2 linked regions of the Arabidopsis thaliana genome follow. The protein of the gene in region 2 interacts with the protein of the main gene of each other region in a pairwise test. Each region holds a gene or a part of one and is shown on either strand. Other genes may lie near its edges. The genes, in order: AT2G24860 and MEE18.

What was found.
Region 1: the proteins of MEE18 (region 2) and AT2G24860 interact in a two-hybrid assay, tested with the Arabidopsis thaliana proteins (one large-scale study listed by BioGRID).

Annotation. Positions count from the first base shown.
Region 1 is NC_003071.7:10,586,011-10,590,427, forward strand, and holds AT2G24860 (DnaJ/Hsp40 cysteine-rich domain superfamily protein), read right to left. Parts: upstream 2,407-4,417; 5' UTR 2,231-2,406; coding exon 2,024-2,230; intron 1,438-2,023; coding exon 1,288-1,437; intron 1,186-1,287; coding exon 1,108-1,185; 3' UTR 633-1,107; downstream 1-632. Other genes in the region: AT2G24870 (Plant self-incompatibility protein S1 family), read right to left, coding at 2,650-2,790, 3,538-3,564.
Region 2 is NC_003071.7:14,395,466-14,400,825, forward strand, and holds MEE18 (maternal effect embryo arrest 18), read right to left. Parts: upstream 3,811-5,360; coding exon 3,531-3,810; intron 3,307-3,530; coding exon 3,190-3,306; intron 3,081-3,189; coding exon 2,948-3,080; intron 2,836-2,947; coding exon of another isoform or gene 2,821-2,835; coding exon 2,724-2,820; intron 2,583-2,723; coding exon 2,539-2,582; intron 2,452-2,538; coding exon 2,295-2,451; intron 2,067-2,294; coding exon 1,995-2,066; intron 1,853-1,994; coding exon 1,769-1,852; intron 1,598-1,768; coding exon 1,496-1,597; intron 1,408-1,495; coding exon 1,360-1,407; intron 1,292-1,359; coding exon 1,166-1,291; coding exon of another isoform or gene 1,079-1,165; coding exon 818-1,078; downstream 1-817. Other genes in the region: AT2G34100 (nonsense-mediated mRNA decay-like protein), read right to left, coding at 4,240-4,548, 4,678-4,950, 5,098-5,210, 5,338-5,360.

The sequences.
Region 1 (4,417 bases), 3.8 Mb from region 2:
TTGTTGAGCTCATTATTAAAAAGACGGTTTCCATTTTCCATTTTCAGATATAGCCTATTAGTTAATTCTTACTACCATATGTATGTGACTATATCTGATTACAAAAGTTTATAGAAATTTATGTGTAGGATAAAAAAACTATTAGTGGAACTAAGGGGTGTCAAAAGGGGTTAACCCAAATCAATCCACCAAATTTTCCGTCAAAAACACATTATTTTTCTAAAAATACAGTTTCACAAAAAAGAAGAGATATAGAAAGTTGGATCAGATGAAAAAATGCATCTAATTGTGTAAAATTTAATAAAACTCTTATTTACGATTATGTAGTTTTGAAATTTTCTTCAATACACCGTAAAAAAAATAAAAAAAAATAACCTGCTGGTGCGTTGGTAATTTTTACTCAAAATAATTTAGTTTTTGTGCAGTAAATATGTATCTGGAAAGTTTTGTGACAAGTAAAACTAAAAGGGGCAAAGTAGAGGTATATATAATGGAGGAAACGGCGAACCACTGTGTTCGAGTGCCCTCTTACACTCTAGACATGAACACTTTTGAAGATTTCCTCATCACTTGGGAAATGGAATGCACACTGACACAAGTTCTTCACTTAGCAGCTTTGGTTAAGAATTATCCTGAAATCAAATGCCATTTTCACTTCCCCAAAAGAAAATGATTAAGTAACTAGCTTAGGTTGGATTTGTTAGGCACAAACTGTATCTAAGATGATGATAATCGCAATTCTATTAGAGAAACGCCATATCCAGATTCATCAAGGGTAAGGAAGATGCACATGATTTAACCCTACAACGAGAAAATATCAAAAGAAATACGAAGGTGACCCTGTGCTACTAATGTTCTTCCGTTGAGCTACTCCAATGATCGAAATCGTAAAACTCACGTGTCGATTACAAGAACTCTTGTGTAGGCCTTTGGTTGTACAGACAGAACAAGGGGAAATGAATAAATGAACTTACATATATATACTTAACACATGTATAAAGATATATGCATATCTGATTCATGTTCCACTTGAATCAATATATAAACATTTTTCCTCCATAAGAAATCATCAAAGACCAAAAAGCTTAACTTGCTTTTGTTCATCAGTTATGTTGGCACTGGAGGTTTTTCCAACCACTTGGCACGAAACCCCGTTCCTTTGCAATCGCTACAGCTAGCAGAACCCTAAAACCATTGAAAGAATCGAATTTGTTCATACTTGGGAAGATATATAAACAAGAAGACACAATAATGTGTCTGCACTTTCGTTTTTATTAGATAACAAACCTGTCCAGAGCAGATTACACATGAAGTATTCCTTGAGGGAACCTGGCAAAGCATGTTATCACCAAGGATGAAGAATCCTGTACCCGCACACCATTTGCATTCCACATGACCCTTTGAATTGCACGATGAACATCCAACAGGACTTGGTTGCTGCAGTGAAGAAAAAAACAGACAAAGAAAATCATTGAATCGAAACACAGGTCAACAAGTAACATCTAGAAAATTCACACGAGCTCAATATCAAATTGCAAGTGCTAGAAGAAAGGCTTCAAAGTCTGAACTTTTGATAGATTCTCTAAGAGCAATATTAGAGAAAAAGCAGAGAATCCAACAATTGTACATGCAAAGCTACAAAACTACATTGCGTTGCGAGATAAGCCTGCTTAAGCCTCATCACTCAGGGATCATAGAGAACAGCTACAACCTGATTAAGTAGCTAACATGTTCTCATCATATGCACAAATCAAATGAATTGTGAACAAACATTTTTTGCTAGAAACCAACTAAAAGGTACTTTGCAATTACAGATTTTCGATACAAATCCTTTTGAAACTTGCTGATACTATTCACCTCATAATCTGAAATTTACAACATTTCATCACAGATCCAAGTTCTTAATCTCATACAAAATTGCATATAGCTCTTCACTCGTACATGACTACATCAAGGATCAGTTCTTGTGATTACTCAGATTCAACAAAATTATACACATCAACAACTCTCTGGAGATACGAACCTGTGAGATAATCCAAGCTTGATCCATACGCTTGGCGAAATTTGAAGAACTCTCAGGTGAATCCACCGCCGAAGCCTTGACGGTAGTAGTAGCTGGAAAACGGCGAACGACTGGTACGAAACCTAGCTTCGTTATCCTAGGAGAATTCCATGGATTTAGAATCGATTTCGCTACGAGATGTGAATCGCAACACATGCAAATCGTCATTTTCTCTTCTTCTTCTTCTTCTTCGCCGAGAAGGTTGAAATCGGAGGTTTAAATTTGTCTTTGGCTTATTTTTATTTTATTTTATTTTTCTCGCATACCAAATTGGAAGACAACAGGAGGAGGAGAAAAGTCTAGGAATAACCCAATTGGGTTATTGGACCCTGGGCCCATTAAAGTTGGATCTTTTTGTTTGCTAAAATGATTGATTCAATGATTTAAACCAACTCATTATCTCCTCTACAATTCCTTGGATTCTTCCTACAGTCAAAACAAAATCCAGATTGCTTGTTTGTTTTTGGTTTGCTTATATGATTGAGAAAATAATTTTTTTCTATGTATAAATTTACTAGTTTTAAGATGATAATATAACATTTTTTTTTGTTCTTACATAGATTGTTAAATATTTTTAATTTAACCAATCATACACTTTTATGCATATTAATCGATTTTCCAATATGTTTGCCGCCTTCTTTGTCTAAATAGATTCCATCTTCTCTTGCTCTCCAGTCCCATATACCTCCTTCATCCATAAAACCAGAAAGCTTGAATGCTGTAAATTTCTGATAATGTTTATAGTTAGGTCCTTGTTCCAAATGACACATAAAACGCGTCGTACGCCAAAAATTAATCATAAAATTGATTTCAACATGTTTGCCGATTGGTATTGTTTTTGGACCAAATTTGTCATCTTTGGAATAACATCCAATCCTGAGAAGTTTATTGAATTTGAGTTCGTTGGTGATCCTGATTCCAGAGCCGAATACATGGTCAAGCATGCAAAAACTAAAAACGAATAAAAAAGACTAAACAGTTTTTCATTTTTTTTGGGTAGATATTTAGATTTTTGCTTTGTTATTGGCTTTTGTGTTTCAGATTTTATATATGCACACATTTGTATTACTATTGTTGGCATAGTATGTAAAATGGCATAATATCTTATAATAATCATATTAGATATACATAAATCTATTAATATTGAATTATGAAAAAAATGATAAAATCAAGTAACCAGTTGTAGATAATATTAAACCTTATGTGAAAGATCAAATGATAACTAAGAAATTCAATTGTGCATAAAAAAATCCTCAATAATAAACTGGTTATTCTATAAATCATATCATACTATCTATGTAACCTATTAGTAAATAAAGTATTTGTTTTTAAAAGTAATAGACAATTTGTAAAGTACAATAAACAACTAAGTAGAGAAAGACAAACTAAATTAGGTTTATACATTTTGTTCTTGTAATAACGTTCTTGTGATTACTCAAATTCAACAAACTCAACAACTCTCGAAAGATACGAACCTGTGAGATTATCCAAGCTTGATCCATATGCTTGGTGAAATTTAAAGAACTCTCAGGTGAATCCACCGCCGAAGCCTTGAAAGTAGTAGTAGTCGGAAAACGGCAAACGACCAGTACAAACCCTAGTTTCGTTCTACTCCGCAAATTCCATGGATTCATAATCGATTTTTTTACAAGATGTGAATCGCAACACATGCAAATCGCCATTTCCTTCTTCTTCTTCTTGGCCGAAAAGGTTGAATTCGGATTTTAATCTACTCGGGCCTCTCGGGTTAAAACATTCTCTATTTAGCTCCCATTATAAAAAAAAAAATATGTTTATCTAGTTTTTTTTCTCCAAAAAATAGTAAAAGACAAATAAAACAAGGGGTTTTCACTTATTTACGATCCAACCATTATGTTGTGTTGTGTTTAATTAAGATTTTAATTCACTCTATTGATTGTGTTGTGTTTAATTAGGATTTTATTTAAGGTTTCATTCTATTGATTGTGTTGTATTTAATTAGGATTTTATTTCATATTAGATTTGATGGTTTGATCCTTTTTTCTTTGATTTTGGGTGAAACGGATAGATTTTGGATAAAATTTTGATTACAATTAGGATTTCTTATGATTACAATTCGGATTTGAATTACATTTTGGATTTATAATCGAAATTGTCCTTTAAATAGCCTCTCGTAATAGCCATTGTGACTAGTTTTTATGATTACAATTGGGATTTCAAGAAATTTGAATTTTGTTATTAGAGATGGTTTGTGAAATGTATTAAAACCAAATATTATGAGATTGCTTTTGAATGATAAAAACTAGAAGAAAAGGGGAAGAAGGAAAAGAAGAATGGTAAATTTTCTTGTTTCAAGATGATAAGATAAAATATTTT
Region 2 (5,360 bases):
TTTTTCTTTTGGCGTGTACTTTACATATTTTTGTAATAAATTCTGTTAAAAAGTTGATTTGTTTGTCATTTCCGCAACGAATGACTAGAAACAAAGTGTCTAAAACAATACATATTATATGTCTGCCCAATCACTGAATGGAGGAGCAATGAAGCATGGGCTCAAATGGATGCGTCATTGTCATCATACAAGTTTAATATTTTGGTATATTTATGTCTCTCTACTTGACTTACAAGAGTCACGTACTGCTACTTGTGAGCATTATAAAATTATGATCACTGTGTCAAAAACTTGTAAAGAAATCTTCGGTTAAATTCATCTTTCAACAATTAACATTGGTTATTGAACAAGTGATTCTTTTCTAAACTTAACTGAAAGGGCCAACAAAGTTGTATGGGCTTAGGGCCCTACCAATCTCAGGGCACGCTCTGTTTGTTGCTGGCATCATTTGCTTTGCTTTAATACATCTTTTTAGTAAAAGCACACATGTTAATACACAGTGAGAAACAAAGATGCCTTTGCTTGTTTGGGAATGAAAAGCACACATAGTTATGTAGAAATGTCATCATTTGGTTTCATTGGAAAGTGAACTGTATTCATCTGTACAGTAGTTATATGTAAAACGTGTAAGAAAAAACATATGATACAACTCCGAGAGAAAGAGAGGCGTTTGTCTTTCCTTAGCTAAGAATATGATCATTGACCATTCATAACCTTTCATATCAATTCACTAAAGGATCAAACTAAACAGTAACAAAAAAATCATGGTCCCAATTGCGTAGAAGAAGAAACTAGCTCTGGCCTAAAGAATCACTATTTACTCCACCAAACCGGCCAGTGTGTTTATCAGTGAGCTCGGGTTGAACAAGATACCGTGCTTCGGGTCACCAACACTCTCCACGACTCTCTGCAATAGAGTGGAGGTAACAGTGAGTGTTTGTTGTGCACATAAACTTGGAAACAAGTGAAGGAAAGAGATACTGACAACATCATATATCCCTTGTTCAGACAATTGTTTGAGATCTACTGCTATTTCTCCATCTTTCGGGACCAAGAGAGTGTTGATGTAATATCCAGGCTGCACACAAAAATGATGTTCTTGGATATCGATATATGTCTGATAAAGAAGACATCGAAAGAGTGTGGATTGTGAAGAACCACTCACGGGATTCTTGAGCCGAATATTAGTATCTCCATGAGTTCTGTTGAGAGCGTCAGCGATAGCAGTCACAAAGCAGGAAGCGGTGAACCTGCTTGTTTCTCGGTCTTGGCTACCGTTCAAAAGAAGTACCTGTGACAGAGAGAAGAAATCAGATTGATTTTTACCATCATTAGTATTTTTGACAAGCTTCAGCATACCTTACGACATGACCTGGAAGAGATAATCTCCCCAACACCAAGCAAAACCTGATGAACAGAAAGACTTGTCTATAACAGTTATCACAAATTTAGTAATCCACCATTTTTGCACAACATATTTATTGCGGGTGCTAACCAGTGATGGGCAAATGGAAGTGAACAGGGATCCCATTGCGTAAACGATACAGTCCACGCTTCTCAACTGCTCTAGGACAGTTGGGTTAACTGGTGGGAAGACCTGTTTAATGGACATAACACCAAACATTTGCAATGTCAAATACACCGTGCAAAACAAAGAAATGAAGTAGAGAACTAAAACGATAGAGTTTCTTAAAGGGAATCAGAATCATTAGAGATAACATTGAAGATATCTAGGACATTCTGTATATATAAAAGCAGAGTAGTTAACCTCATGAAGCAGATTATTGCCTTCACTTGACATGTAAAACACTCTCTTTATCTTCGATGGGAGAGCGGAAGTAGAACAATGTCTCTACTAGAAACATAGAAAGACAATGTAAGAAAATAAATTCTACATATGGCAAAATTGACATTTTTAATTGATACAAGTATATAGTAAACTTAGTTCTCGTGATCATCAAAAAACACCAATGTAAGATATTCAAATAGAACACCTTGTCAACTGTCTGCGTAGTCCCAGTGGTCGGGTGAGAAATTTCGTTCTGTCCGCGTATTATAGTCCCATCCTACAAATTAAAGTCATAACTTGTTAGTTTGCGAACAAATTTGCCACCTCAATCTTGCCATTAATTGTTTAAACCAAGAAGATGGCCAGTGAAGCGACAGCCAAGATTTATGTATAGAAAGCGATACTTCTTCCCGCAAATAATGATGCTTTAGCTGCGATATTTGTGGACAAGAATGGGATTCCATAAGCTAGCTGCGGGAATTCAAATAGAGATCAAGCTTCATACCTGTAATTCACATCCTAGTGTTAGCCTATCATTGGTTGATATCACTGGGAGGACCAAACTGTCACAAGGAATCTCTGAAACACGTGAAAACAGAAAAATTGCAGCATCTAAAGACTGGAAAAATATCCTTGCTCCTGCAAAGAAGAAGTTCCCAATGCTACAAGAAGGAAACAATCATAAGTGAGTTACTAAACAGGCGAACAAAATAATACACAGTTGAAGCCGAGAAAAAGATCTTCAATACCTTCCATTACTGAAGCAAAATCTCTCATTAGGTCGCCTATGAATCTGTATCATAAGAAACATGTCAAGTAAGAAATGACAGAATATTAAGGTAAAGAAAAATTTAAACAATCAAGAAGTTGGAACTTGGAACTGATCAAATATGAAACCAATAAAAACATGTTTCTCTGTATCAGTTAACATTACCTCATTCTGAAAGTATATCAAGAAAGCGCGAATTGTTTCACTGTAGGGTCTTGATACACCATCCCACAGAGAATGATTACCTTCTACAATATCGTACCTGTCAAAGTTCCAACTCAGCCAATGGTATATTACACAATATTGTCCACCACAGAACCTTAAATGTGTAGCTTATAGAGTAGACCACACTATGTGCATAAAGAAAACATAGTCATTGGATAAATTACCAATCTTTCTTGGCCTGATGTGCATCAATAGGTAAGCGATGGCCAAGCAACCGCCTAACAGCAAGTGCCTCTGAAGTACTCTCATCAGACAGCCTTAAACACCTCGAACGTATATCACCAACCGCTGGCCCTCCTATAGCAACGGAGATATTGAGCTTAGATTACTTCTGGTAAAAACTTAAAGAAGCTAAAACATATATAATCTGGGTCTTGTAGCAATGTTAGTGAGTTCTAAAACTTACCGAGAACACGAACAATCTCAGCAGTACTTCCACCATCATCAGAGACAGGAAGAACATGAGCGACTCGTGTTGTTAACTTCTTCAACTCTTCAACCACACCATTAAATCCAGTACCACCTTCATAGCAACAAATATAACGTTTTCCAAAATTCAGAGCAAAAGAAAACTACCTAAACCAATGTAAGACAATGATAAAGCTTTGCACTTTGCAACAAACAGAATTAACAAATGTCAAATTCTAAGTAATTGGTCAAGATCTAACACAAATAGACGATCTTATCGACATAAAAATCGTAACTTTAGGGAGACCCACGAAACAAGGAAGAGGAAGAAAGTGGAACCTGAGAAGACGAGGAGAGAAGGAGGCTCCACGGTGGAGGAGGAGAGACATTCAGCCATGAGAGAAGTGGAATTGTAGTAATGTGGCTTCTTGCTGCGGAAGAGAGAATGAAGAGACAAAGGAAGAGATGGTGATTTATAATGGACTAGACCCCCAAAATAGCAAATCTCCGCCATTACCGAACTGAAACAGAGAATGATGAAACATCTCACCACTACCCTTTTCGTTTTTGTCGATTTTCCAAGCCTTTGGATTTTTCTTTTTTCGCAATGAGAGTGCATAATAAAGCCATAAAAGATATTTATTACGCGTTAGAAAAGAAAATAATCACGGTACTGGTGGTTTTGTTGGTTTTCTACTTGGTTTGGTCCAATAAACCAAAACTAGTGTTAAATCGATTTTGGTGGGATTGTGGTTTTGCATTAGTGTTTGAGCTCAAAATACATGTATAGACCAAATGTCGATGATTCCACTGGAAAGGTACCTTAAGATAATCTAAAAGATCACATGATCGAATGGCAAAGAAGACAAACAATAATGATAAGAAAAAGTACACTATTTGGTATTAAACCCCAAGTTAATAGAGTGACATAAGCCTTGTGAAAAACGAATGAAACACTCAAAAAACTACACAAATAAATATCATTAAAGCCGATGTAAAGTATAAACTCGATCAAATCACACACATTTTTTGCCAAAAGATCAGAGCCCTAAGCACTCTTCACATAAACCCAATCACCATCTGGTAAAAGGGTCTCGACCTCACCAAATTCCGTATTCTTCGCAATTGTCTCTCGCCTCACATTCACAAATCCTTGTGATACGTCATCTTCATCGTCATGAAGCACTTTCCTTAGCTCGCTCATTCTCTGCTCGCGCGACATCTCCATCGCTTCTTCAGAGTGATATTCCCCAGCTTCATCATCCTCCTCATCGCATGATTCTTCATCTTCTTCGTCGGAAGACGTGTCAACATTATATAACTGCTGATAACCACCTTTCCACGTCAAACTTGAACCCTAATCACAAATACAATAACCAAATCAGCAACTGATTAAAATAACAACATTTCATAGATGATCATTTTCCTAGTTTTTGTATGAGCATAGGTATAAAAATGTGAAAAAAACTGCTACACAAAAACTTACACTATCTTTTTCATTACGATGATCGTAGGAACTAGGGGTATAATTCGTCGCTGATCCCAAATCAAGCTCCGACATGTTTTCGGAATATTTAAAAACTGTAGTATCCGCTTCTTCATCTTCATCATCAAAATCCTCATTCCATGAATCATCACTATCTTCGGAGAAAATGTCAACATCTTCTTCATCGTCATTATCCTCTTCTTCTTCTTCATCGAAAGACAAGTAGCCACTCTTTAACAGCTGATAGTCACAGTTCCACTTCAAACTCGATTCCTATATCAGAAAGATTCAGTCAGAGACAATAAACAAAGTAGCAACTAATTAAATTTACCAAAATTCCGTTATACAAAATCCATGGTGATTTACTTATTCTAGTTAATGAGCTTTGATATGAAAATGGGAAAAGTGCTTCAAACTTACACTATTCTCTTCATCATAATCATCATCATCAATACCATCAGCACCATCACCATAATTTTCATAACAATCATCACCACCTTGTGCTTGAGTGAAACTCTCTGGGAATTTTGAAGCTGCCAAGAAAATCAATATGATACTTGTCAGTCAAGAAACCAAAAAAGTGCTGATGTTCTAGCTACTTTAATTTAATGGTATTTACAATAACTATAATGTAATATATACTATATATAAAACACATACCACGCATAGCCCAGTGTTGGCTC